Linked DNA regions of Cricetulus griseus. The protein of the gene in region 1 purifies or fractionates together with the protein of each later gene. This does not show direct contact. Links are inferred from orthologs where the notes say so. Each region holds a gene or a part of one and is shown on either strand. Other genes may lie near its edges.

Region 1 (3,648 bases):
AGGTCGGAGACCTAGGGAGTGCAATCAACTGATTTCAGGTACCTGGAACTTAACCCTTGGAGTGCTTGTCTTAGTCCAGGCGCTGTATTGTAGCTACTGTTGTTGAGCCTCTATTAGGTCCATATTTGTCTGTACCAGTCAGAGTTTCAAAAGGTTGTTCCCACCTTCTTGGACCTGGGAAGACAGTTTCTGGTGTTCATTCCCGTTTGACAAGCAAGGGGAGTGAGGCTTCCTGAGGCTGGTAGATGTGGATGGCCTCAGAGTCATGCTCACAGAGCAAGTTCTTATGTTCCTGCCCGACTCACACCTGGTGCCCTCTTTACTCTTTAGGCTCTGATCACTGGAAGACAGCTGAGAGGAAGCTGTTCAACCAGGGCATCGCCATCTATAAGAAGGATTTCTTCCTGGTGCAGAAGCTGGTAAGCAGGGGCGAGCAAGGGGTCCTGTGGTCACTCAACAAGTGGCCTGATGGCAGGGTGCTTGCCTAGTGTATCTGAGTCACAGCCATCACTGCAGTTAGATCTCTGCCATCAAGTAGCTCCAGAGACAGCTTTGTAAAACCACAGCTTGCACAGATGATCCTCCGCTGACCTCTGAGCTCTCCAGACAGGACTTTAAGCCTAGATGTGGGTGAAGGGGGGTGGGGAGGGGCGGGCGGGTGCAGACTTGGGGGACATGTGGGAATGTATTGCTCAAACCAAATCCAGTGGTCAGATAGAGCTATGAAATGGGAGGGCAGCTGTCAGTCTGAGAGGACCACAGGGATGGTCTCATGGTCCTAGCATCACACCACATACTCTTCACGCATGAAAAAAACGGAAATTAGGAAGGTGAGTGACTTGCCTTAGGATGCACAGCCTTTTGGTGGCAGTTAGTAGCAAGGCTAGGAGGGCCTTCTGCTTCCTCTCTGGGTTTTCCCTGAGTCTTCCCCACATGACGTTTCTCTTCCTTACTTGGCACTGCTCCCTAGAGAGCAGTGAAACCATTCCCCAGATTGATGCAGGGAGTTTGCACTGCTGTACTGGGGCCGGCTTTGAATGTGGAAAGATGCCCAGGTGCTTCTCCATTTACTAAATGAGAAGAGAAGAGTAACTCCACATACGCCCATTAAAAATGCCTTGCTGAGGGCTGGAGAGATGGCTCAGCAGTTAAGAGCACTGACTGCTCTTCCAGAGGACCTGGGTTCAATTCCCAGCACCCACATGGCAGCTCACAACTGTCTGCAATTCCTGTTCCAGGGGACCCGACACCCACACACTGGCATAATAAATGCACGTAAAATAAATTTTTAAAAAGTGCCTTGCTGAGATTTACTGGTTTTACCGTTTATCCTGGTTTCTTTCTCCATCTGCATCTAAACACCCACCATGAAATACACACATCTCTCTATTCATTCTCTCTGTTTCAGCTAATCATTGAAAGTAAGCTATAACTGGGCTTGGGGCTGTCTAGGCCTATAATCACAGCTATTTGGGAAGCTGTGGTAGGAGGATTGCAAGTTCAAAGCCAGCTTGGGCTACTGAAGTGAGTTCAAGGCCAGCCTAGTTACCTTAATGAGACTTTGTATCAAAATTCAAAAAAAGGAGGTGGGGTAGGTTGGGAGTACTATTTAATGGTAGAGCATTTGCCTAGCTTGTTCAATCCCCAGTACAGGGCACAGGGGTTATATTCAAATAAAACTGTCCTAAGCATTGGCAAGCAGTGTAAACTGTATGTTGAGAGGCGTGGTTCAAGAATCACTTTACTTACTGTTTACATGTGAGAAAGCAGACATTGGGGTGGTGAGCCCCTTTTTACCTGAGGACTCCAGGAGGAGCCGTGTGCACCTCTGAGAAGTTGATGAGGGATAAGAAAGCTCAGTCAGTCATACCACAGGTGCAGATGCTGACCCAGCCAAGGCTGCTGAGCCCCTGCAGGTCTTGCTGGCCCAGTGCCGCTTCTCATGGCACAGCCCTCTGGTATCTAGTCCACGGTCGAATCTCCCCGGTAGTTTTGCTATTGTCCTTCATTGAAACGGTGCAGAAGCTTCCACTAATTACGCTGGTTGTGTAGCAGGCATTGAAATGGGGTTTGAGGTTTAGTTTTTTGTTTGTTTTTTTGTGACAGGGTTTCTCTGTGTAGCTTTGGAGCCTGTCCTGGAACTCCCTCTGTAGACCTTGAACTCACAGAGATCGGCCTGCCTCTGCCCCCTGAGGGCTGGGATTAAAGGGTCTGCCACCACCGCCCGCCCTTGGTTTTTTTGCCTAAGGCTAAGGGAAGTATGCAGAGATGAGAAAGGTGAGCCACTTCAGCCCCCTCTGACCTCCGTTTTGGCTTTAATTCAGATCCAGACCAAGACTGTGGCCCAGTGTGTGGAGTTCTACTATACCTACAAGAAACAGGTGAAAATTGGCCGCAATGGAACGCTCACCTTCGGCGACGTGGATACAAGGGATGAGAAGTCAGCCCAGGAAGAAGTTGAAGTGGATGTTAAGGTTAGTCCTTTCTCAGCCTCTGTTGCCTCAGACTGTAGCACCAGAAGCTTAAGGCCAGACAGACTCTCCTAGAGTTTATAGATGGTAGACAGGGGGAAACATGGTCCTGAACCTTTGAATTCTCCCATATCAGCTGCCGGGTCATAGTGATAAGTGCTGATGAGCGGCACCAGCTTCACCTTCCGGTCTCCTCAGAGCAAACCGCTGACGTCACTTCTGAGCTCTAGCCCTTCTTGCACCATGATCTCTGCTGTCTGTGCCCTAACACAAGCCACTACCACTAATTCTTTCATGTACCATACTACTTTCATTATTCATTTTTTGAGTCAACTCATTCTTTTTTTCTCAAAAGGGAAGCTTTATATTACAGTCATAAATAGATAACCAGTATTGTTTCCTATAAATAGAAGGTGCCGGGAAAGGCAAGTTCACATGAAAACCAAACACTGTTACTAAACGCCAGCTCCACGCTGTAATTGCCTGCCTGGCCTCTGAGGCACAGGGCCAACTTGTCTTTTACACAGATCACCAGGTCTAGGGAATCACTAACCCCGACCTCGTCCTTGACAGATGCTGTGATACTGTCTCTAAGTCACAAGGCCGTACTTGGTGGCATGCTACTTTGAGACCAGGGAGTAGTTTGGTCCCCATATTGCATATGGGAAGTAGAGATACAGAAAATGTCACAGATAGTTAAACGGGAGCTCAGTTCTCCTGCTTGGCACACTCTGAGGTCACCCTGCCCAAAGGGTGCCCAGAAGATTCCAGGCATCTCTCCAGGAGACCAGGTGGTTTGTGGGTGCTGGCATGCTCCCTCCCTAACCCTGGCTCTGTCTCTCCCCCCCCCCACCCCCCCCGAGGGCACCCAGGGTCAAGACTACTCTGTTTCTGGGCCAACTGGCCATGGGAATTCTAGTGTAAGAGGCTACCCTGGCCCAAGACAGGGCGGCGGGACCAGCAGGTGCTGTGGAGCCTTGGCTGGATTCAGAGTCTGCTCTCTGGAATGACTGAGCTCATGTTTGTCCCCCATAGACTTCTCAGAAGTTCCCAAGGGTGCCTCCTCCCAGAAGAGAGTCCCCAAGTGAAGAGAGACTGGAGCCTAAGAGGGAAGTGAAAGAGCCCAGGAAGGAGGGGGAGGAGGAGGTGCCAGAAACCCAGGAGAAGGGAGAGCAGG
Region 2 (3,648 bases), on another chromosome or scaffold:
TCAGCTAGGCGTAAGTGACGATCTGACAAAGTTCGGTGGTCTTGGCAGGTTCTGCAGATAGTCCTTGGGTAGCAGAGACTGGTGTCACAGTGGGAATGGACAGAGTGCTCTATAGCAGTGGGGTGCAGGATATCACACTGTCCTCAGATGGTTGTGGATTAGGGGAGGCCACACAGGGTCTTTATCCAGGATCAAGGGCACAGAGGACCACATAGACCCAGGGCTTCTTGGTAGGTTGTGTGGAAGACTGATTTTTGGGACCCTCACTGGGATTGTGGTCACAGGGCTCCAGGGTGGTGCAAAGGGTGCGGTTGGTATTGGCTCTGGAGACCTCCCTTACCAATGGTTCTGGGTCATAGGACACCTTTCAGTTTGAGAATGATGAAGTAAGTGGGGTCTGCCTTTACATCTTGTAAAATCATTTCATACCTAATCAGATTGAGGTTTGTAAGAACTTTTTACTTTGTTTTTGTGTGTTGGGAGTGATATGAGTATGGCACGTTAAAGGATACCATGCAAGAGTCAGTTCTCTCCTGCCATGTGGGTGGGTCCTGGGGATCAAACTCATTGAGCTTTACCTGCTCAGCCCTTCTGCCAGCCCAAGCTACAAGACTTGTGTTTTATTTGTATTAACTGAATGAATGATGCTGTTAAGTTTCTTCCCTAAAACTTGCTTTAGAGCTTAGGAAGTATGTCTACAAATACTGGATCATACACCTGTTTATTTTATTTTTTTTTTATTATTTCCTTTTTCAGATTTGTGTTGCTTGATCTTCTAATCATTTCAAACTAAGTCAAGTTTTTTGTTATGGAATAATCTCTTAAGATCTGTTTTTGTTTATAGGATATTGGTGCTGGAAAAGGAAAGTACTATGCTGTCAACTTTCCCATGAGAGATGGTATAGATGATGAGTCCTATGGACAAATTTTTAAGCCTGTAAGTACTGCTTTCAAAAGTAAAGTGGAGTTGTAAAATATCCTTAGATACTAATGTGTCTTGTTCTGAGTCTAGATAATCTCAAAAGTGATGGAGATGTACCAGCCTAGTGCTGTGGTGCTGCAGTGTGGTGCAGACTCACTGTCTGGTGATAGGCTTGGCTGCTTCAATCTCACTGTCAAAGGTAAGCGCTGCTTCCCACGAAAGTTCTCACTGTGGAGCGCTGAAGAGATGGTTAAGAACCTGGGTTCGATTCGCAGCTCCCACATGATGGCTCATGACCCAATGTTATTCCAGTTCCAGGGGATCTAGCACCCTCTTTGATTTCCACAGGCACCAGGCATCGCACATGGTGTACAACATACACATTTTTTAAAAAGTATTTTGAGAAAAAAAATTTAAGTTCTCATTGTTATTTTTTGCTTGCCAACTTGATGACTTGATGCCAAACTTTGTAGTTGTATGGGTTTTTTTGTTTTGGTTTTTTGGTTTTTTTGGTTTTTTGGTTTTTTTGGTTTTTTGGTTTTTTGAGACAGGGTTTCTCTGTGGCTTTTAGAGGCTATCCTGGAACTAGCTCTTGTAGACCAGGCTGGCCTCGAACTCACAAAGATCCACCTGCCTCTGCCTCCTGAGTGCTGGGACTAAAGGCGTGTGCCACCAACACCTGGTTTGTAGTTGTATTTTCAGTGGGTTTTTTGTTTTTGTTTTTTTCTATTTTTTTTCCCTTTTGTGGGGGGTGGGGTGGGGTTATGTGGCTGACTAGTAATCTTGTTTCCCAGCAAGTCCTTCCTGTGTTGCCATATTTGTGTTTATACATTTATCCATGAATAGTTAGTTGCCATCCTAACTGGCACAGGAGTTGTCAGTGTTTTTAATCCATTATATCAGTTTTAAATAATTTGTTTGCTGTTACAGTGATGAGGATTTGCTCTGATCTGCATGCTCTTCCCACATCTGTTCATAGCTGTAAGAATCTGGGCCATGGCCATTGCTAAACAGCAGCAGCACACCAGTCACTTTTTTGCTGACTTTTTTGTTTGCTTAGTTTCCTCTTTGCTCATTACTAAACTGAATTTGGAAATATATTCTGCTCAGCTGTATCAGGTGCTCCGTCCCTGACCTAAGAATGGTCCTCCTGTTTGAACTAAGTGTCCTCCTGGGTCTAGTGGGACATAGAGCCCTCTGCTTCTGTTTTACTACACCTCCCTGATCAGTGTGCTCTCCATTTCCCTCTTAGTTGTTACCTCTGGCAGAACACGTTTGTTTTGTTTTTGTTTTTTGAGACAGGGTTTCTTTGTGTAGCCCTGGCTGACCTGGAATTCTCTTTGTAGACCAGGCTGGCCTCCGCCTCCCACGTGGTAGGATTAAAGTTGTGAGCCACTACCACCTGGCTTAGAATAAACCTTTTTAAAGAACAAGCCTTCATAGTAAAGTTAATGTTTGGATCAGAAATGGCTTGTCATGCACATTGCATATATTGCAGTAAAGTCCTTTTTTTCCAAGTGAACTTTGCAGTAGCAATTAGCTTTAAATGAAGGCATCTTACTTTGAATTCTCTTATAAGATGTAAAGAATCCTAAAATAGCACTTTTAAAATAACTAAATATAGATGTTAACAACTACTTATGATTGCACTCTGCAGACCAGCCTTAGGACTGTGGTATAAGTCTGTTACCCTACTTCGCGTGTATTGAGTTGGCCACACAAAATTAGTTGCCCACTTTCTTGGTAGGTCAGCATTCAGTTAGCAGCACTGTCAAGTTGTTGCCTCAGAAGTGTTACTAACCATTTAGTGTCAAAGCAGATAGGAGTTCCCTGAAGTGACCTGTCTGATGTGCCCTTCTTTCTTGGTGCTAGCAACTTATACACTGCAATGAGCAGTAACCCCACTTCTAGTGTTTATATTTAAAAGTAGTAGTTTTCATTATAAACTGCATTTGACCCTTACAGTATATATATGTTGTGTTTCAGAAGGTAGAGGAAGTTCATTTGTGTAAAGCACATAAGGATGTTTGTAATTCCATTTTAAGACTTAGAATAAATGCACTTTCCTACGACTAGCCTCAGCTACATTCTCTCAGGCCTAGTGAAGTCAGCCACCTGATGTCCAACTTGCTCCACTTAATTGTTTTTTCCATGCTTCTTCCTCTTTGGGGTTCTAGCCTTCATTTTATAAAATCCCTTTATGGTTACTTGGCCTGGGCTGGGTGGTAGTATGGGATGCTGTTTTGCTGCTGTTCCTGTAGTCTGCATAGAAACTTCTGTCCTCACAAATGTCCACATGGTTCTATCAGAAACACTTGTTCCAGCAGGAGATGCCAGTTGACAATTACATGAAGGAAACAGTTAATTAAACATAAAAATAAACTTCCCTTAGTTAATGGTGATCTTTTTTCTTTATGTCATTTTAATTTTTTCCAAATTACTTTAAACTTTGTTATGAAAAGGTTACAAAAATCAACAAAGCATCACACACTGGAGTTAACCAGACCCCAAGACGGTAACTCACTGATGATCTATGCTGAGCGTTGCAGTGAAATATCCACCCCACACCTGTAGCGCTGACCACACTCAAACAGATGTGGTCACAGGTGCAGACATGATGGGTGGGTTTAGGTCTGGGGTCGGGACAGGTGGCTCTCTCTTGCTTCCGGTGGGGTCACAGAGGGCAGCCTGGAGCTGGAACTTGTGGCCATCACCACTTCTTGTAT

What was found.
Region 2: the proteins of Mideas (region 1) and Hdac2 purify together in Homo sapiens (affinity purification with mass spectrometry; 5 studies listed by BioGRID and IntAct, with this or other methods). This does not show direct contact. The link is inferred for Cricetulus griseus from reciprocal best matches to the Homo sapiens genes MIDEAS and HDAC2.

The regions. Positions count from the first base shown.
Region 1 is NC_048598.1:119,604,540-119,608,187, forward strand, and holds part of Mideas (mitotic deacetylase-associated SANT domain protein), read left to right. Parts: intron 1-330; coding exon 331-419; intron 420-2,324; coding exon 2,325-2,474; intron 2,475-3,506; coding exon 3,507-3,648.
Region 2 is NC_048595.1:259,855,801-259,859,448, forward strand, and holds part of Hdac2 (histone deacetylase 2), read left to right. Parts: intron 1-844; coding exon 845-937; intron 938-1,012; coding exon 1,013-1,121; intron 1,122-3,648. UniProt on the Homo sapiens protein: Histone deacetylase that catalyzes the deacetylation of lysine residues on the N-terminal part of the core histones (H2A, H2B, H3 and H4).